3 linked regions of the Sus scrofa genome follow. The protein of the gene in region 1 purifies or fractionates together with the protein of each later gene. This does not show direct contact. Links are inferred from orthologs where the notes say so. Each region holds a gene or a part of one and is shown in the gene's direction. Other genes may lie near its edges.

Region 1 (2,687 bases):
AAAGAAAATAATCTCAGTTTAAGAGGAAAATGTAATTTTAATATAGTTGCATTGAGTAATTGTTCATATAAATTATGCCATTTTGAAATTTCTAACTTTCAGCAGATGTTTTGTAGTTTTATAACATGACCTTTCAATTACAGCAGTACTCTGATATTAAATCTTGTTACATGTATTTTTAACTTATTTAGCTTCTACTGAAACTAAAATTGATGTGGCCACCATCAAGGAAAAGGTTAAGAAAGCAAAGAGTAAGAAACTGGGAGCTCTTACAGCTGAAGAAGTTAAGCTTAAAATGGAAGCAGATGAAAAGAAAAAGAAGAAAAAAAAGTAGCAAAGACCAAAGGCCGAAACTCCTGAACTAGAATGTATTAAGCTACCTCCTTTTGTAAAGGATTTTGAGATACTAGGGCATTAGTTGCCTATCTGTGAAAGGTAATACACTGATCACATTTTTCTGAGTTTGTTTTGTTCTTGATATAAAGTGTTTACATAAACAGCTATTCTTTATAAATTACTGCATTCTCCATAATTTTTCTGAAAAATTTTATACAAGAAAGTGGTATAAATGTGTTTATATGCATTGCAGCTAGTCTGTTCCAGGCAGGTTTTGCCTAAGAATGATTTTAGGAGTAATTCTATATAGGTTGTATTTTGGGAATATGGCTATTGTAATTACCCATCCAGTCCAGGTGTCTGATGCCAGACATTGGATTTGATAAATAATTTGGTTTTGTGGAAGATAATTTTTCAGTGCTTTAATGATAACACGTAAACGTTTAGGCTTATTCCTTTCTAAAATGTTTTTCTTTTTGCCCACACCCATAGCATAGGGAAGTTCCTGGGCCAGGGATTGAATCCAAGCTGCAGCAACACTGGATCTTGCTGGGCAGAGGAATTTCAGCAACCTAAAACTGCTGTAGTCAGATGGTTAACTCACTGTACCACAGTTGAAACTCCCCTGTCTATAATCTCATAATCCAAAAAAGCAAGGCTTCTTAGATATTATTCCTTAATTACTATTCCGTTCTGAATCTGAGGAAGTTGTAAACCAGAAAGTCATAAAATTGCAGGAGAGAAGGGAAAACCAGATATTTAGAGTTGAAGCAGCATGCAACAGATTATAGAAATGTTTTGTTAATAAGGTCCAGTGCAGTTACTTATACTCACCTACCTATCTCAAGATTGACTTTACATATTTAGAAGCTGAAGCACACCAGGGTTTGAAATCACAGCAGTGGCAGCCTAAAAACAATGCTTTTTTATACAGAGTGGGAAATAACAAAGACGAGTTTATCATACAGTGTGGGAAGTAATAAAGATGAGTTTACCGTACAGTGTTATTAAATTGAAGTTTCTTTTGAGTAAGGGTTTGCTGCAACAGTGTAAACAATATATGTTTTCTCAAAGTTTTAAAATAGAAATACACCCACTTATTAAAAAAAAGCTGTACATGAGGGTTTTTTTTTCCTTGATTTTATTATTTGAGAACTAAATGAGGGTATTTAACCAAAATGGTAATTATAACACTCAGTAATAGGATTGGTGGACTAACAATGAGAAAAAGAGATAGGTATCTATTACGTGGAAGTATCAGCCAGTCTGGAAACACAACAGAATAGTAACCTGTGAAACAAACATAAAATAGCCTCTTAAATATTGTTCTTCGTGATGCGGAAACATTGCTTACATAAATCTTGAACAACTTAAGATTTATATACATACGTGTGACTTTGTCTCGTTTTGGGTTGGCTGTAAAGTCAGAGAAGAAAGACAAAAATTAAAAGAATAGGTAGTGGCAAGGCTTTTATTTTAAAAGCCCAGTCTCTTGACTTTTTGGTTTTATTACAGTAATTTTCAAAGGTTAAAGATTTTTTTGCACTTATTGTATTAACTTGATTTTTTAATCAACTTTTTATATAAACCATATATATGTATACACAGACACACCACTACTGTAAGTGGAAACATTTTATGTACCGTATCTGGCAGAAAAATAATTAAAAATAAAACATTAGAATTAAAAATAATAAATGTGAATGATTTATTAAAATGTTTCTGAAAATGTTTCTTCCTGAGAAGAATGACTGTTTATAATCAGTGAGCAATAAAGAGACCACGGCCTCGCCTCTGTTCCAGTATGTCATTAATTTATGATAGCCAAATATCTTATTGATAAAGTCCTGAGTACTCTCCCCTTCCACTGAGCTTTGTTAAGATTTTGATATTCAGAGCACTAGGAAGACAATTCCACATTTGCCATAGCCTTCTGGATACTTTTTAAACTAAACAGTCAGACACCTTTCCTACAGCAGTTCCACATCAGCTGTTGGACTCCTGTAGTGGAATGGAATCCATCAACGAGCCGACCCCCTGGATGCTTGTGGACATCCTTGGGCATCATACCTGTGACTGGCCTTGTCTACAGTGAACTGCCATGTAGCTTCTATTCTTCAACTTTTCTCAGCAGTTATAGCCATGAAATCAAGGTATGATGTCCTGGTTACATTTTTTTCTTACGTATATATTTTTTATGTTAAATATTCAACTTCTGAATATTGCCAGAAATATACGTCCGTCCATGCACTAGCTAACAGCAGCTTATATACCATTAGTATACCCAGCACGTTTTACAAAACTGTCCTGATTTGGCCTCTTGATATTTGTCGAACCTACCTGCAGTATCT
Region 2 (4,292 bases), on another chromosome or scaffold:
AAATTTCTCATTCTCTAGAGGACCTTGTCTCTGGCATTCTCTACTCCTGAATGACCCTTTTCTCCAGTCCCCCATTTTCCTGGGCCTCCTCCTTTGAGGACCCCCTGACCCTCTGCCCCCAACAGGTCATGATGTTTGGCAGCCCCACCATCGCCCAGGAGCTCCTGAAACAAGGTGCCAGCCCCAATGTCCAGGATGCTTCCGGCACCACTCCGGCCCACGATGCAGCCCGTACTGGATTCCTTGACACCCTGAAAGTGTTGGTAGAGCACGGCGCTGATGTCAATGCACCTGATGGCACCGGGGCACTCCCCATTCATCTGGCTGTGAGAGAGGGCCACACCTCTGTGGTCAGCTTCCTGGCTGCTGAATCTGATCTCCATCACAGGGACGCCAGGGGGCTTACACCCCTGGAGCTGGCAAGGGGGAGAGGTGCTCAGGATCTCATGGACATACTACAGCGGCACACAGTGGCACCACTGTGACCTGGGGCCACCCAGTCCAGCAACAGGACCCGGCTGGGTTCTGTGTCAGAAGAGAAGGGAAGAAACACTTTCTCCCTTAGCTCCTCCTGCCCACTGCCGAGGGGCACAAGTTTGTGGCTTGTTGGTGTTGATTTCTGGGGTGTGTGTGTTTGAGGTGCATTTCTCATTTTTTTTCCTCTCACCCCTTTTGGTGTATTGGGCAGAGAAGGGCTCCTGCAGGCAACAGCCACCTAAACGGTTCAGTTTCCTCCACCCCCCAGACTGCTGGGACTACAGACAAGTCCCAAGGGCAGAGCGTTTAAAGCCCTAGCTCCAGAGTGAGGTCATTCCTTCCAAGGCTCCTGGAACCTGTCGACCTTGGCCAGCTATACCCAGAGCTAGACCTCAAGTGTGCACACTGCTTTCGGGCATGGGGGAGGGGGGTGTTCCAAATCAGTAAAAGGGTAGTATGAGTTCATTCATATTTTGTTTAAAAGCTTGTTTTCCAGTCCCTTGTACAGCGTTAACACATTCTATTTATTAAGCTTTATGGAAAAAATTGTTGTGTGTGTAATTTAATGTTTTTACCCATTAAATTAAGACTTGTGCATGATCATAGCGCCAGTGGCTTCTGATTTTTGAGGCTGCGATGGAGAGTCGTGCATTCAGGATGTTTGTGGGGGTGGGCACCCAGGTCGCGGATCGTGGGTCCTTTGGCGGAGGGGCGAGAGTGGTAATTCCCAGGGCGCAAGGGGTGAGTGAGCTGGGTGGGGCAGCGGTTTGCGCTGTCGGAACGGAAGGGAGGCAGGAAACCGCGAGTGGAGAAAGGGCCCCCAGATGTCAGCTGGGTGCCGGGAGCCCTGGGGGTGGGGGAGTGGGGTGGGCGGTGGCCGTAGCCTTCCCTGCAGAGGCGTGGCCCATGGGTGGGGACTGCCGTCACAGGGCTTGGGATCCCGGAAGGGCCAGGGGCTGGGTTAAGTGCCGTCCACGAGGCTCCGCCCCATTTAAAGCTAGCTTGCTAGGGAGTAGCCCCGCCCCCTGGGGCGCCCTCCGTACGCTTGCGCAGTGTGCCCAGAGCCGCCATGCCGGAGCCGCGCGGGTCGTCGCCCCTGCGGGTGAACGCGGCGTTTGCTGCGCGGTACGGCCGCTACCGGGAGCGCGAGGAGCTGCAGCGGCGTGAGTGCGGGGCGCATGCGCGCGGGGCGCCGGCGCATGCCGGGCGGTCAGGAAGTGGGCTTGATCTGGTCCCCCAGGCTGACCTGAGGGCTCCTATCTGTGCCCCACAGTCAAAGATCGCTACGGAGACCAGGACGGCAGTGGCGACTCCAGCTCCGAGTCTGACTCCAGCGATGAGCGCGTGGTGAGCTTACCCGCTTCCGTCCTGAACTTGGGGAGGCTTCCAAGCACACCATCCTTGCCCGGCTTATAGGGAGCTGCTTACCCTCATCACCAGCGCGCCGAGGGGAGCTTTCAACTCCCGCCCTTCATTCCCTTGAGAGCCAGACAGCGTCCTCCCCATCCCCAGGGGGTGGCCAGATTCCCCCTACCTCCCCCTTCTCACCTCGGAGCTCCTGGCCCATCTTGATCTGTGAGGTGTAAACTGTCTGTCCACCTTTTTGTCCCTAACAGTCTAACCCTTTCTCAACGCCTGCCGCTCTCCCCAAAGTGGGGCATCCCTCTGCCACATGGGGCACCCACCTTTTCCCCATAGCAGCCCTGATCTTCCCAGTCTCCCTGAGTGGTCCAGCCCTTTCTCTCCATTCTTCCTGTGCCCTTTCTGCCCACCTAGCCCCGTGTCCTGAATCCCTTACTGATGCCAGGAAGTAACCTCTCCTTACCCACTACTTCCATTTCATATCCTGTACATATCCTATGTGTGGACCACCCCCAAGACGGCCCCTCTCCCTCCTCCACCCGTTTGCCCCCCTCTTCCACTCAGATCCAGACCTCCACCCCCCACCTGCCTCTCTAGCCAGATTCCCCTTCCTGCTTCTTAATATATGCCCCTCCCCCACCCTAATTCCCACACCCTCTCAGCCCACCTACCCCTGGTGCCCTCATCACCAGGTGCCTCCTTCTGAAATCTGTCTCCACCTCTTTTCCTGCCCTAGGAATTTGACCCCCAGCAGGAGCGAGACTTTTACAGGACTCTATCCTTGTTGAAGAAGAAGGATCCCCGGATTTACAAGAAAGATGCCACATTCTATCAGAGAACAGGTCTGGGACTGCTCGTTTTTTTGTTTTGTTTTGTTTTGTTTTTGTCTTTTGAGGGTGGGACCGGCAGCATATGGAACTTCCCAGGCTAAGGGTTGAATCAAAGATGTAGCTGCCAGCCTACACCACAGCCACAGCAACTCAGGATCCGAGCCACTTCTGTGGCCTACAGCACAGCTCAGGGCAATGCTGGATCCTTAACCCACTGAGCAAGGCCAAGGATCAAACCCACATCCTCATGGATACTAGTTGGGTTCATCAACCACTGAGCCATGACGGGAACTCTGGGGCTGCTCATCTTGAGGCCCAGTTTCCTCATTGCCTTATGGGCTGTTGTGATTATTTCACCAATCTTTTTTTTTGGCTCTACCGAGGCATGCGATCCCAGGCCAGGGATTGAACCTGCTGCACCACCACAGCAGTGACCCGAGCCACAGCAGTGACAACACTGGATCTTTAACCCAGTGAACCACCAGGGATCTCCCTATTTCATGAGTCTTTACACATCACAACAGCAGGAGTTCCTGTTGTGCCTCAGCAGGTTAAGAACCCTATAGAATACATAGATACTCTGTGAGGATGTGGGTTCCATCCCTGGCCTTGCTCAGTGGCTTAAGGATCCGGCGTTGCCTCAAGCTGTGCCGGATGCAGCTGGTAGCTGCAGCTCCCATTTGACTTCTAGCCTGGGAATTTCCATATGCTGTGAGTGCTGCCCCTAAAAAAGACCAAAGGAAAAAAAAAAAGGCTGTATGAGACTTCCCACTATGGCACAGTGGATTAAGTATCCAATGTTGTCTCTGGGTAGCATGGGTTCGATCCCTGGCCCTGTGCATTAGGTTAAGGATCTGGTGTTTCTGCAGCTGTGGCATAGGTCCTAGCTGGGGTTTCTGACAGGGAACTTAAAAAAATGATAATAATGGCTGTGTGCTTGGCACTGTTCTGAGTGTAAACTACTCACTGAATGGTCACCACCAGGTACTACCGGGTAGTAGCCCGTGTGATACATGTTTGAGAGCTGGGAGCAGGCGGCCTGGGGATTTGAAGCCTGGGTATGACTCAGGGAGGAAGGGGTGGGTGGGTGTGGCTGATGGCAAGTGTCTTCTGGTGGCCCCACAGCATCTTCCTCGGAGAGCGAGGAGGAGCCGGCAGCTGAGGAGAAGCAAAAGAAGGTTTGTCCCATGTACCTGAAGGACTACGAGAGGAAGGTCATCTTGGAGAAAGGAGGGTGAGGAGAAAGCCTGGTGCCCCTGTTCTTGCCTTTCCAGGGCAGGTGGACACATGGGGGACTTGGGGGCAGGGGTGGGATGAAGCCCATGACTCATCAGAGTTGAGAGGGGAGGAGCCTTGGTGACCCACTCCCCACCCCATGGGGACAGACAGGCCCTGGGGCACCTATCCTGAAGCCTTCATCCTTTCTTGCAGCAAATATGTTGATGAGGAAAATTCAGACGGGGAGACCTCTGATCAGAGACTCCAGGTAAGTGGGGTGCAGGCTGGGCGGGGGGGGCTCGAGGGGCCCAGGGCTGGGCCTGAGGCCCATGTCACTCTCTCTGCAGCAGACCTCAGCGAAAAGTTATGTGGAGGAACAGAAACAGCTGAAGGAAAGGTGAGCCC
Region 3 (3,652 bases), on another chromosome or scaffold:
CGGTGCTTTCTTTTTTGGCACTTAACTGGGCTTTTTCTGATAAACGGAGCATCCTATGACGTAGTATTTTAGGTTTATCTGTTTGCAAAGAGAATTGTAGAATTACTGAGACTAAAGGAATCTGGGCTGGTAGTTGAGTCTGTCTTCTTGGGTCTTTCTGTATCTCAGGACTTCAGGTTAATGATTCTTTTTTTATTTACTTCTTTTTTTACCCATTCCTTTTTCCTGCGATAAATTCCTACCTTTGAAAGGCAACTTAGTGATCGTTTGGATATACAAAGTGTATAAAAAAGCAGTTAGGAAGCATCTGAATAAATGGAACGTTTCCAAGCAAGTCGAATGGCCAGGATAGTATTTGGGAAGTGGAGAAGGCTCTTTTCTTTTGGAAGATTATTGGATTGAATAAGCTTATTGAAAGAATGGCATTTTAATGGTTATATGAGCAAGCAGAGATTGCAAGGAAGTACAGAACAGGTGTCAGCAAACTATTGAGCCTTTTGCCTGTTTTTACAGATAAAGCTTAATTGGAACACTGCAATGCCCATTTATTGACTTGGCCTTCATGGTGACAGACCAGAAGGCTTACAAAGCCTAAACTGTTTACTATTCGGCCCTTTTTAGACAAAGTTGGCCAGCACCTGGGTTAGCATGTCCTGTTCATCTCTTGTCTGAAATAAAGATTTCATTTAGAAAGAAGCTTTAAATTTTCCAAACATATATGACTGTCCTTTTACTGCATATAGACTACAGTCCATTTGTAAGTTAGGAAAAATTGTTTATGCAAAAAGTGAAACAAGAAGAAGCATAAGGACTAGACATGACAGTTTTGATATAAAGTGATGGTAATTCTGTTCTAAAATTACTAATGCCTTTAGGATTCTTGTTCTAAGTATGCCTAAGGAAGTGACATTATTTCTAACATAGAATCACAGGGCTGGGAGTTTTAAGTCCTGTAGGTAACCTTTAAAAACCGGGGTTTTTTTTGGAAAACAGAAGTGATAAGCCATGAAGACCTGCTGATTATGGCCATGGCAGTATTTCTAACACTGACTATTTTGACAGACATACAAAGGATGAAAAACCAGACAAGGATGATTATAGCCATGGCTTTTTGCGTTCTACAGGGCTGACCATTTTCCAGAAGAGTAGTAGAAGGTCCAAGGAAGAGGCCAATCGTGGACTGCAGACAGTCCTAAGTTCTGGTTTAGGTCAGCTCTGTTATACTAGCATCCTAACAGCCATAAAATTTTAAAAGCCTGGTATGGTAGGTAACCCACTTGACCCAGAGTGGAACATTTAAGAGTGTGATGGAGAGTTCTTACTGTGGTACAGTGGGATTGGTGGCATCTCTGCAGCACCAGGATGGAGGTTTGATTGCCAGCACAGTGTTTTAAAGGATCTGGCATTGCCGAGGGTTCAGCATAGGTCACGACTGCGCCTTAGATTTGATCCCTGGCCCATAAACTGCATATATACATATATATATGTATCTATGTGTGTATGTGTATAAAGAAGCCTAAAAATGTTTTCTTGGCAAGTCTGTGTCTCCCCCTGTTTTTTTAATATAACCATATTTTTCAACCAATGAAAAAGAGATTCTTAGCAAATTGAAACTGGAAATGTGGTCAGCATTTGAAAATATGCCTTTCTGCATCACACTTTTACTTTGTGATCTCATTGGTATTTTTAAGAAAAAAAAATTGAAGGTTTTTTTGTTTGTTTGTTTTTGTTTGTTTGGTCCTTTAAACCCAAGATTCAAAAAAAGCAAAAACTGAAGATAAAGGAGAACCTGGAGACAGTGCCCAGGCTCCTGAAGAAACAGAAAACAGTATGGAAAAGCCAGACAAGGATGATGACACTGAGGTTCCCAGCCTGCCCCTGGGACTAACAGGTAACTTCCACAACGTTTTCCAGGTAGATCTTCTTTGAAATGTCATGCATCCCTGGACTATAGTTTGAAGGTCCAGTTGTGACATTTAATTTACCTTGAAAATCTAAGTATTGAAGAAATGATTTTATATCTAATTGCTGCTTTTTTATCTTCCACATTGTATGCTTACTCCTTGTTTCTTTGTCTTCCCCTCTCTTTATTTCTAACACTGACTGTTTTGACAGACATACAAACAGCTCTTGGGGTCCTCTGTTCCTTTGGTTTGTCACTTTCCAGAGCTCAGTCCATGCTGTAGTGGGGAAATCACTGGCCGGGATGTCTGAAGCCCAGAGGTTTGATGCTGGCTCAGTGGCTAAAAGAAAAGGAGGACGTTAACATTATTGAGGGGCTTATGCCAGGGTCTCCTTCTTTGGCTCTACTCTTTATCTCCAAAGTCAAGAATTTAGGCTAGAATTGGTTGCTCCCAACTAGAATTGTCTAGGAGATACTTGAGTTGTTTGGTTTGGGGGTTCTGTTTGTTAAAATATTGAGGCCCATCCTCCAACCTACTTAATCAGATTTGCAAAGGTTATGTAGTTATTCTCAACCAAGGTAATCTTACCTCCCATGTAAAGGGACCGGTTAATTTTAGTTTTCACATTCAAAGTCCTGCATCCCACAGATTACCTCTGTCCCAGGCAAACCGTGAAGATTGGCCACCAACATGCTTGGTTGGTAGGCAGGCTACTGGCATCTAGTGGGTAGAGGTCAGAGATGCTGCAGAACATCCTGTAATGCATGTATACAGCCTTTCACAAGAAAGAACTATTTAGCCGAAAATGTTAGCAGTGCCAAAGTTGCTAATACCTGGGTTATCGCCGCAGTGGCATGTGGGGCAGTAGGTCCCCGGTGATCCTGGTGCCATCCCCTGCTGGGGAACCACTGCACTCCTGATAACGTGAGTATAGTCTGACATCTGTGGCTATACCTGACTCCTCTCAGTGAGAATAACTAATCTTATTTGACTTCATAGTCAGATTTGATTGTACTGAATGCTTTCATTTTATTTCAGATTTCTTAACCATTTGATTTCTCTCTGAACTCTCTTCCCACAAACAGTCTCCCCCACCCCACCCCCAGCCTTGGCGTTTTCATTTCATACAAGTCCCTTAATTGTACCTCCGTCATTATTAGTTTGTTACAGTATTAGCTCTGAACTTTAAGTTACACAACCATAAGCAGTGGAGAAACTTTAAAAGTACAGGGTCTTTTTCTTGATATTACGTAGGAATAGTTGGTATTTAGTTTTTTCATACTGGAAGAAACTTTTCTAAGCTCAACACCAATGTCATAATGTTTTTAATCAGCAGCACTAGTTTAGGAAACTATAGCAGTGTTAACTGTATTAAGGTAAATTTGCTGATGGTAAACTCTTTTCTGTTTAGGAGCTTTTGAGGATACTTCATTTGCTTCGCTGACTGATCTTGTCAATGAGAACACTCTGAGGGCAATCAAAGAAATGGGTTTTACGAACATGACTGAAATTCAACATAAGAGTATCAGACCACTTCTGGAAGGCAGGTATGAGTAACATTGAGGTTTGAGCATTAGTGTCCCTCTTCTTAGTGCTAATAGTTTGGAAAGGAAATACCAGTATTTCTGTTGATTTTGTACTGTATTGGGTAAAATATCCAACCTTCATTAAAGGCTTTAGGTTATTGACTGGTGTTTAGAGAAAAGTGTTCACTTCTGTTTTTAGCACAGTTGTTATTTCTGAGTTAA

Evidence for each region.
Region 2: the proteins of KRR1 (region 1) and KRI1 purify together in Homo sapiens (affinity purification with mass spectrometry; 3 studies listed by BioGRID and IntAct, with this or other methods). This does not show direct contact. The link is inferred for Sus scrofa from reciprocal best matches to the Homo sapiens genes KRR1 and KRI1.
Region 3: the proteins of KRR1 (region 1) and DDX18 purify together in Homo sapiens (affinity purification with mass spectrometry; 3 studies listed by BioGRID and IntAct, with this or other methods). This does not show direct contact. The link is inferred for Sus scrofa from reciprocal best matches to the Homo sapiens genes KRR1 and DDX18.

Annotation. Positions count from the first base shown.
Region 1 is NC_010447.5:38,809,188-38,811,874, reverse strand, and holds the end of KRR1 (KRR1 small subunit processome component homolog), read left to right. Parts: intron 1-17; exon of another isoform or gene 18-191; coding exon 192-334; 3' UTR 335-1,480; coding exon of another isoform or gene 1,481-1,752; 3' UTR 1,753-2,127; downstream 2,128-2,687. Other genes in the region: GLIPR1 (glioma pathogenesis-related protein 1), read right to left, coding at 1,481-1,752. UniProt on the Homo sapiens protein: Part of the small subunit (SSU) processome, first precursor of the small eukaryotic ribosomal subunit.
Region 2 is NC_010444.4:69,334,218-69,338,509, reverse strand, and holds the start of KRI1 (protein KRI1 homolog), read left to right. Parts: upstream 1-1,405; 5' UTR 1,406-1,546; coding exon 1,547-1,640; intron 1,641-1,750; coding exon 1,751-1,824; intron 1,825-2,575; coding exon 2,576-2,681; intron 2,682-3,794; coding exon 3,795-3,903; intron 3,904-4,100; coding exon 4,101-4,155; intron 4,156-4,234; coding exon 4,235-4,284; intron 4,285-4,292. Other genes in the region: CDKN2D (cyclin-dependent kinase 4 inhibitor D), read left to right, coding at 126-485.
Region 3 is NC_010457.5:23,428,562-23,432,213, forward strand, and holds part of DDX18 (ATP-dependent RNA helicase DDX18), read left to right. Parts: intron 1-1,753; coding exon 1,754-1,891; intron 1,892-3,315; coding exon 3,316-3,451; intron 3,452-3,652. UniProt on the Homo sapiens protein: ATP-dependent RNA helicase that plays a role in the regulation of R-loop homeostasis in both endogenous R-loop-prone regions and at sites of DNA damage.